Cricetulus griseus: one gene and its partner. The protein of the gene in region 2 interacts with the protein of the main gene of each other region in a pairwise test. Links are inferred from orthologs where the notes say so. Each region holds a gene or a part of one and is shown on either strand. Other genes may lie near its edges.

What was found.
Region 1: the proteins of Zc3h12a (region 2) and Ahsp interact in binary tests that used the Homo sapiens proteins (3 or more experiments, as listed by UniProt). The two-hybrid records come from large-scale screens. The link is inferred for Cricetulus griseus from reciprocal best matches to the Homo sapiens genes ZC3H12A and AHSP.

What each region holds. Positions count from the first base shown.
Region 1 is NC_048596.1:72,527,637-72,531,566, forward strand, and holds the start of Ahsp (alpha-hemoglobin-stabilizing protein), read right to left. Parts: upstream 2,801-3,930; 5' UTR 2,671-2,800; intron 2,500-2,670; coding exon of another isoform or gene 2,394-2,499; intron 2,304-2,393; coding exon of another isoform or gene 2,271-2,303; intron 598-2,270; coding exon of another isoform or gene 552-597; intron 1-551. Other genes in the region: Rusf1 (RUS family member 1), read left to right, coding at 552-597, 2,271-2,303, 2,394-2,499. UniProt on the Homo sapiens protein: Acts as a chaperone to prevent the harmful aggregation of alpha-hemoglobin during normal erythroid cell development. Specifically protects free alpha-hemoglobin from precipitation.
Region 2 is NC_048595.1:27,928,677-27,932,878, reverse strand, and holds the start of Zc3h12a (endoribonuclease ZC3H12A), read right to left. Parts: upstream 2,801-4,202; 5' UTR 2,651-2,800; intron 1,957-2,650; 5' UTR 1,923-1,956; coding exon 1,489-1,922; intron 1-1,488. UniProt on the Homo sapiens protein: Endoribonuclease involved in various biological functions such as cellular inflammatory response and immune homeostasis, glial differentiation of neuroprogenitor cells, cell death of cardiomyocytes, adipogenesis and angiogenesis.

The DNA of each region.
Region 1 (3,930 bases), on a different chromosome or scaffold from region 2:
GTTCCCATAAGCCTAAGATATATGAGATGTTTCTCAACACTGTAGTTGTAGAGCTTCCTGAAGAGCATATTGTGCTGTATGTAATTTCTATGAATTCGTCTTTCATACAAGATTATAATATTTATCAGTGTTATTGTGAATCATTGGCACATATCATTGTGACTGCCTAATATGCCACTGAGTAGATCTACCAGGATGTTATGAATCCCCTTATCTTTAAACATTTACATCATTTTAGTGTTTTGCTGTCATTTAACAGCATTGCAGGCTGAGGATGCAGCTCACTTTATAGAGTGCCTGCCTGTCCAACGAGTTTGCAAACAACATTTCTTGTCCACTCTGTACTCAGGCACATAGCTCTCGTGTACTGGAAAACTGCTGACCTCATCGTACCCCTCAGTATTAGCTCTGTCTAGAATTTGTCACACCAGATGTTTTCCCAAGGGCAGCATGACTGGAAGTGAATCAGCCAGTTCAGAGCCAGTGTCTGTCTTGCCCTGCAGCTCTTGAGTTCCTTCCTTGTCCTTACAATGCCTTCTTCCCATCCCCAGATTCCACTGGCATGTTGGGCCGCATCATCTTTGCCTGGTGGAAAGGGTAAGTTTGTGACTCTTCCAGTCAGCTGGCTCTGGTAGTACCTCTCAGTGGCACTGGTAATAATGCAAGCCTTTGTTTGTTGGAGAAAGTTCAATGGGAAAAAAAATCTATGCAAAGTGTTTAACATTTTATATCCTACTTGAATTTTGTATCATCTCTAATCCCTGTAAGCTTTTTGGGTAGCACTGAACATTTTGGAGATGCCAGTCTGGGGATATGGCTCAGATGTACAGCATTTGCCTTGCCATGGACAAGGCCCTGGGTTCAATTTGCCCAAACTGAAAAGATGACAGGGACACTTTTTAAGATGTGAAATATATCTAGAATCGGGAAATTATTTTTTTCTCAAGCCACTCACTCTGTAATTGCTGTGGTGGGACCGAGACCTTTCTTCTTACCATGCCATCAGGCTGGGTAAGTGGGAAGGGTGCCATGTGCTCAGCAACTCCCCTGGGCACATATAGTCTACCCTAGCTAGGGCTCCCCCTCCGCTGAGGGATTCCAGATGAAGATCTAGAGCTAGGGATGAGAATCTGGGCTGGACTGCACTGCAGCATCTCGTAACACTAAGATCTTAGAGCAATTGGCTTCAGGTGTTTATGCACGGGCCAGAGAATAACTGTGGAATGGAGACAGAAGAGGTAGTACCTATCGTGGTGTATAACAGAAACATCCTCAGCCTGGATATTGGAGCCCAGCCATTTCCCTTGGCCTTCCTTCCCACCCATCCATTGTTTCGTGAGCCAAGAGAGCCTGGGCTAGCTTCCTGTACCCTGCAGTTATACTGAGTGTGCATAAAGCAGTCCCGGGTATGTGGACTTTGGCCTGGTTACCTTTGAAGAAGCAAGAAGAAAAGAAAAAAAGGAGAATGATCCAGAAATAGCCTCTTCAAAGGTTGCCCAGGCAGTGGGAGAACAGCCAGTAAACAGGATAATTTTTCCTTGGAGCCAGTAAGAGGAAGATATACCCAGCCAGCGGTCACTGATGGTCCTCCCCGCTAAGGGTCATATTTCAGGCAGCAGTGACAGTCAGAACAAAACCCTGGCAGAGAAGCAGATACAAAGTTACCTTTCAGAAGGGCTTCATCAGGAGAGGGAGCTTCCTGCCTTGCAGCAGGAGACCAGTTAGGAAGGATAGAGCATCCTACCAAGGGCAGCATGGTGGGGCCCCAACAGAAGAGAACAGGCCTTCCCTTCAAAACCCAGAGAGAAGCTAGGTGAGGGGAGATGACAGCCATGCACGTGTGGTGTGACAAGAGGAGCCCAAAGGAAAAAAAAAAAAACCTTCACATCCCCCAGAGATCTGACTTCCATAGATTTTCAGACAAGTAGCAGCAAGTTCCACACCACAGGACTTAGTTTGGCCAGTCTGTTGCTAAGGGGGATGGAGCCGGCACTAGCTAGGGCGGTGGACTTACTCTGCAGCTCGGTTGGGAAGGCCTGCAAGGCTCCCACAGCTGCTGTCATAGAGCTGCAGCAGAGTGTGGCCTGATTACTGGGTTAGTGAAAAGCAGCTAGAGGATTTGTGATCTAACAGTGACAGGGTCACAGCTGTCTGGGTTGGAAGCCCATTTCCTCCCTGAGCTCTTTAGACCTCACCATGATGAAGGACAACTCCCTTAGAGCCCACAGCATTTTCCTTTGTTCTAAATTACAACTTCTTATCCCCACCAGGAGCAAATTGGACTGTAATGCAAAGCAGTGGAGGTGAGAAGGGGCGGGGGAGAGGATGGGGGAATCTGCCATTCTTATAAAAGTCTCTTGTTTATAACCCCTGGCCTCTGGTCCCTTCCCTAGGCTCTTTGCTGATGTCCTCAACGATATAGCCATGTTCTTGGAGATTATGGCTCCCATGTACCCCATCTTTTTCACCATGACTGTCAGTATCAGCAACCTAGCCAAGGTACCCACCCCTGGGGCACTTGTGTAACTGAAGTATGTCCTTAATGGTGCTGTGTGTGGCTCACCTGGACCCTGTGCTGAAGGCACTTCTGAAAGGGGAACAAAGTTCATGTGTTTCTACTCAGACACAGACGAGTTTTCTGACCCTCCTTTGACAGGACAGCCCTTGTACCTCAGCCAGCCTGTGCAAGGCCATGTTGGGAAACCATCCTGGTGAGGGAGTCCTGAGCTGCGAGCTGGAGGGCAGTCTGACACCAGTGTCTGGAGCTAGCTCCTGGCTGTTTTTCATTCTTCAGTAAAACATCTTTTTCATGCCTACTACATGAGTGACACAGACCACAGACTCTCCCATCTTTAAAGGAAATGATGCATAATTACACAAATATTTATAGAATTGCAGTTCTGGGCATACCAGATGGGAAATGGTCTGGGGCTGTAGGAAGGCCCTGCCTCAAGCTGAGTCCTGAAGAGGGGGGGCGGGGTATGGTGAAGGGAGGGTGTTCTAGGGCCAAGAAATCACACACACACAGCAACCACAAATCACAACAGATTCAAATGGAGAGGCTGAAGGGCCACTGAAGTAAACATAAGCTTCCCCTCTGTGATAGGGTTCATTTGCCCCCACAGTTCCTTCTGGTGAGGAAACAGGCCTAGCAAGGTCAGGAGAGAAGCCCACTGTGGTCAGTAAAGTCACAGTAAAGCTCTGTGACTCAGTGCTGGTCCCCATCTCAAGGGCCTGTCTGTTCAGCACCACACCCAAGCAAGCACTTTTGGCATTTGGTGTTAAGCAGTCTTTTTGCTTAAGGGCAAGCAGTAAATGCTGTGCACACCATATCCTTCACCCCTGCTTTTGTTACTAGTGTAGGAAACACTACTGTAGCTGTGGACCAAGGGTTGTGACTTTCAAATCCTGCATTAAACTGCTTTTGAGGCCTGTGTGACTATCAAATACTGTACCAGAACAAGGCATTGTCTTTCCCCTTAAGATCACTCCATGACCAGCCCTTCATCCACAGCCACAGCAGCCTGAAAGTGGCTGTCATCCATACTTCCTCCCAACTGTCACTTTCCACTCTGTTCTTGGGAGTTTTCCTCCTCCTTCCATTCATCCCCCTGTCTCCCTCTGCTGAAGAAGCCGTTCTTTCCTAGGTAGTATAATCCCTCTTAAGTCCTCAACAAAGTCCAATACTCTTTTGAAAGTGGAAGTCATTGGGCCAGCAAGATGGCGGTACCAAGCCTGCCAACCCGAGTTCAATCCCTGGGACCAACATGATGGAAGGAGAGTCAGGGCTCCTACAAATTCTCCTCTGACTTCCGTGCATGCATCATCACACACATGCCCAATATACAATAAATAAATATTTTTAATTAAAAAATAATAAAGGCCAAAATCAAATTAAGTTACTTATCTGACCCATTGCTCTTTGGGAAC
Region 2 (4,202 bases):
GAGGCCTGCAGACAGTAGCTGTCTGTCTCTTTGGTATCAGCTCTCCTGAACCCCTCCACTACTGCCCCTCCTTCCATCCAGGCCCCTCCTTCCCCTGCCCAGGATACAAATACACATAGCACATGGCTGCCCACAAGACTTGTAACACCCAGCCCATGACGCCTAGGGGAAGTCAGACCCCTCCAAATGCATACCCTATTTCAGAACCTCAGAGACAACTCTAGAGTCTGACAGTGTAAGTTTGACCCATTGCCCTCTGGCATGGAAGCAGTGTTTCTCAGCCTTACACCCAAGATCAGCCCATTTTAAAGATGTGAAGATGGACCCAAAGGCGTTGCTCCCATGTACCAGCTAAGTAGGGCCAGGACCAGCTGGACAGCTCACTTGACCCAGCTGGGCTGAGAGTAGGTGGGACCAAATGCCAGGTAGGGAAGAGGCTGACATCATGACAAGTTGGGCAGTCCACTTGGAAGAACCCTCAAGGCATTTAGGAAGACTTCCCCTCTTCCTGTTCTCTTGTTGGGGTCCCCCCTGGTCCCTGCCAACAGGAACTTTTCCTTGTGTGCGATCCACCCAGTCCTGACTCACCAGCCCGTAGTGCAGGGAACTGGGAGAAAGCAGGGTTGGAGGGTGCGGCCTGGATGGAAGGGAGAAGTCAAGGGCTCCTTAAGGTCAGAAGCAGCCTGGCTCATATTCTGCCTCCACCCCACCCCAATCCTTGAGAGATCCGGACAAGCACCGAGGTCTGGGAACCCCCAGAGATCAGTCCAGACCAAGCACCGTCAGTTGAGTCAATACAGATTCCAATCAGGGCTCACATGAGCCCAGAGCATCAGGCCACCTGCACACACCCATCGAGAGCCAGATTTGGCCAATAGGTCACACCTAGTTAGGGCTAGGACGTTCTCAATAGCTAACTAAGCCTTGCTGCTACTGTGGGAGCACAAGTCTATGACAAGGAGGTCCTAGAGGAGTCAGCCACTGAATGACAACAACTGCTTACTTAGTCCTTGCAACTAACTCCCCATGTTCTATGCATTTTTCTCCCCACAAGGGCCACTTGAGAGGTAAGACTGACAAGAGAGTGAAGAAATGACTCAACTGGTTAAGTGACTCCCAGAAAGCTCAAGCCCACAGGCTAATCCCCTGTATTGTCCTGCCTCATGTGATAGGCAAGGAGAAGACTGGTCTCAGGAGAGACCATGGTACAAGGTGCACTCTGGGCACAGAAGGCTGAGTTTGAATCCTGGATTCCCATTTACCAAGGAGTGTGACTCTGGGTAAGGGTTTGAGCTATTTTCTTTCTTTGGACATTCATGAAATAACCCCAAGGAAGTCTTAAGGCTTCAGGGAGCCTCCTAGCACATGGTGGGGCCTCCCAGAGAGCGTATACATTCTCTTACCAGTTCACGAGGAAAGCAAAGCTTTCTTCCCAAAGGAAGAGCCACAGACTATTCCACAGGTCCCCTCCAAAGAAGTGACACATACCTCATGGCCACATTGCTCCCATCGATGACCACAGGCCTCAGGTCACTGCCATCCTTATCCTCCTCTGGGAGTGAGGGTTCAGAAGGCTTGGGGGTGCTTCCTCCCCGGGGCACCAGAGGGGGCTGGGGGCAGGGGTCTGTCGAGGCCTGGCACTCTCGCTCACTAGCTGAACCATGCTTCACCAGCTCCCCCAGCACTGTGTTGGTGTCTGCTTGGACCCCCAGCTTCTGCAGGACACTGTGGATCTCAGAGGACGAGTAGCCCAGTTTCCGGAAAAAGTCCACCTTCATTTGCAGCTCAGCAGAGGCCTCTTTAGCCTCAGGATCCTGGGCTGGCTGAGGGCGACCCCGGCAGCTGTGGTTGTCCTCAAGTTCCCACAGACTCATGGTAGGGCTGGCTTCTTGGACAGACTTCTTTCTACAAGGGTCACTCATATCTCAGATTCTTGGAAGGCGTCCATCACAGCTCCTATTGACCAGACCACAGGGTTAGAGGCAAGGAATACTCCATGTAGCTCTCTTTCAGCCTCTTTCCCCCACAGGATGAGGCAATATGAAACGAGGTGACACTATCCAAAGCTATCCTCATGTGTCATCTCAGGCTGTTCCTTCAAGAGCTCTCAGCAAGGAGTTATTCTTATATGGGGGAAACTGAGGCACGGGCAGTAAGAATTTACTCAAGGTCATCAACTCATAGGTGGTGACGAAAAAAATTGAACTTGTCTGACTCCACCCCCAAACCCGTCCTCATTCATGCCAACCCAAGGGGCCTAGGGGGCAGGGGCGGTGCTCTCAGAAGGAAACTGGGGGCTGGGAAGTGCGTAGAGGACCCAGGGGCTTCCCCGTTGTGGCCATCGCCTTCGTTCTCGAGTTCCATAGTAAGAGCCCAGGACCGGAGTCGCATTCCGGGAAGGACAAGTTTCCGGGGTGACCCACGGGGGAAAAAGTTGCTGGGCGACTCTGGTTGGCTACCAGGACCGGTGACGCGAGGCGGTCCCGGCTAGAGCCTTGCGCATGCCGGGTGCCCCAATACACCCCTCTCCACTCACCAGGGTGAACTCGGCAGGGTCCCGGAGATCCGGGATGGAGACGCGGCCCGCGACCCTCCCGAGGCCGGACTCAACGAAGCGTCCCACCCGACCCACCCCGAGGCACTCACTCACCCCGCCGAGCGCCGGACGCAGCCCGTAGAGTGTCCATGGAGCCGACTCCTGGGCTCGGACGGCACCTTCGCAGCCGCGACAGGCGGGCAGGTGCTTTAAGGGCCGTGACGCGGAAGCCGGGCAGGGCCGCCGCCCCTTCCTGCTCCGCCCCGCTCCTGCCCCGGCCCCGCCCCCGGCAGACCCGCGCTGATCCCGCCCCGTCCCTGACCAGACCCCGCCCCAGATCATTGGCCACGCCCTTGACCACGCCCAGTCTGGGCGGCCTTGGGCTTGTGCCACCGGACTACTTCACTAAGGCAGGCGCTGCAGAAGCAGGTTCTGCGCACTGTGCAAAACCGGAATAGCACGGGTTCCATGGTTCAGCTCAAGAATTTAACAAGTCTACCAGCCTGGTCCAGACTTAAGTGCACAAGTGAGGCCACAGCCGTTGGTGGTCGTACCTTCCTGTTTGATGGAGACGGGGCCACTCCGCTTCAGTCCCATCGGCTGTGTCTGGAGCCGGTTCAGAGATTGAGGCACACTAAGGGCCGGGGACACTTTTCCTGAAATAAATACCTTCCCAAGACGAGAGGGCACCAGCACCACAGATGCACTGTGGTGGAGGAAAAGCCACGGAAAGGAGGGACATTGACAAGAATCTCTGTGGGAGAGTTCTTGAAGAATGCTGATGGGCAAAACTCATCCTATCACTCTCAAGAGGTGGACAGATCCCTGTGTTCATGGACCTTTCATTTCCTTTGAGTTTTGTTGTTCTTTCTGATACAAGGTCAAGCCTCACAGCCCATGCTGGACTTGAACAACCCAGCAGTCTCCTACCTCAGCCTTCTGAATGCTGCAGTTAAGGCAGAAGCTATCCTGCCAGCTCCATTTACTCCTGAGAGATGCAGAAAAGGCCAGATGGCCTCAGCCAGAGAGACCAAGACCAGGAGATCCCATTCCAGAGCATCAGGGACCACTATAAGCATTCTGGAGGCCTCTGCTGACCCAGAGCAGAGGGAGCCTGGCTGTTACTCTCTCTCTCTCTCTCTCTCTCTGTGTGTGTGTGTGTGTGTGTGTGTGTGTGTGTGTGTGTGTGTGTGTGTACCAGAGAAGAGAAAGGGGCAGAAGAGAGGGAGAAAGGGGCCCCAGGACATGCACATGGAGGACCAGCACCAATGTGCTTGTATATAGGGAAACTGAGACCTGGGAAGCCAAAACACTCAAAACTAAGTGCTTATTACCATGTATCAATACTTTAGTCATGTTAAACCTGTCTTGTGGAATGTCTTGGGTCCACTAAGAATGCTGGAAAAGACACTACATATACAACTGCACATGTTCAGCCTAAAAATAATAACAATAATTTTATTGACTTTGCTTATTTTTTAAATTATCTTATTTACATGCATGGGTATTTTGCATACCACGTCATGTCTGGTTCTCAGGAGGTCAGAAGGGGATTAGGAGCCCCCAGAACTGGAGTTACAGATGGTTGTAAGTTGCAGTGTGGGTGCTGGAAGTCAAACCAGGATCCTCTGAAAGAACAGCCAGTGCTCTTAACCACTGAGCTATC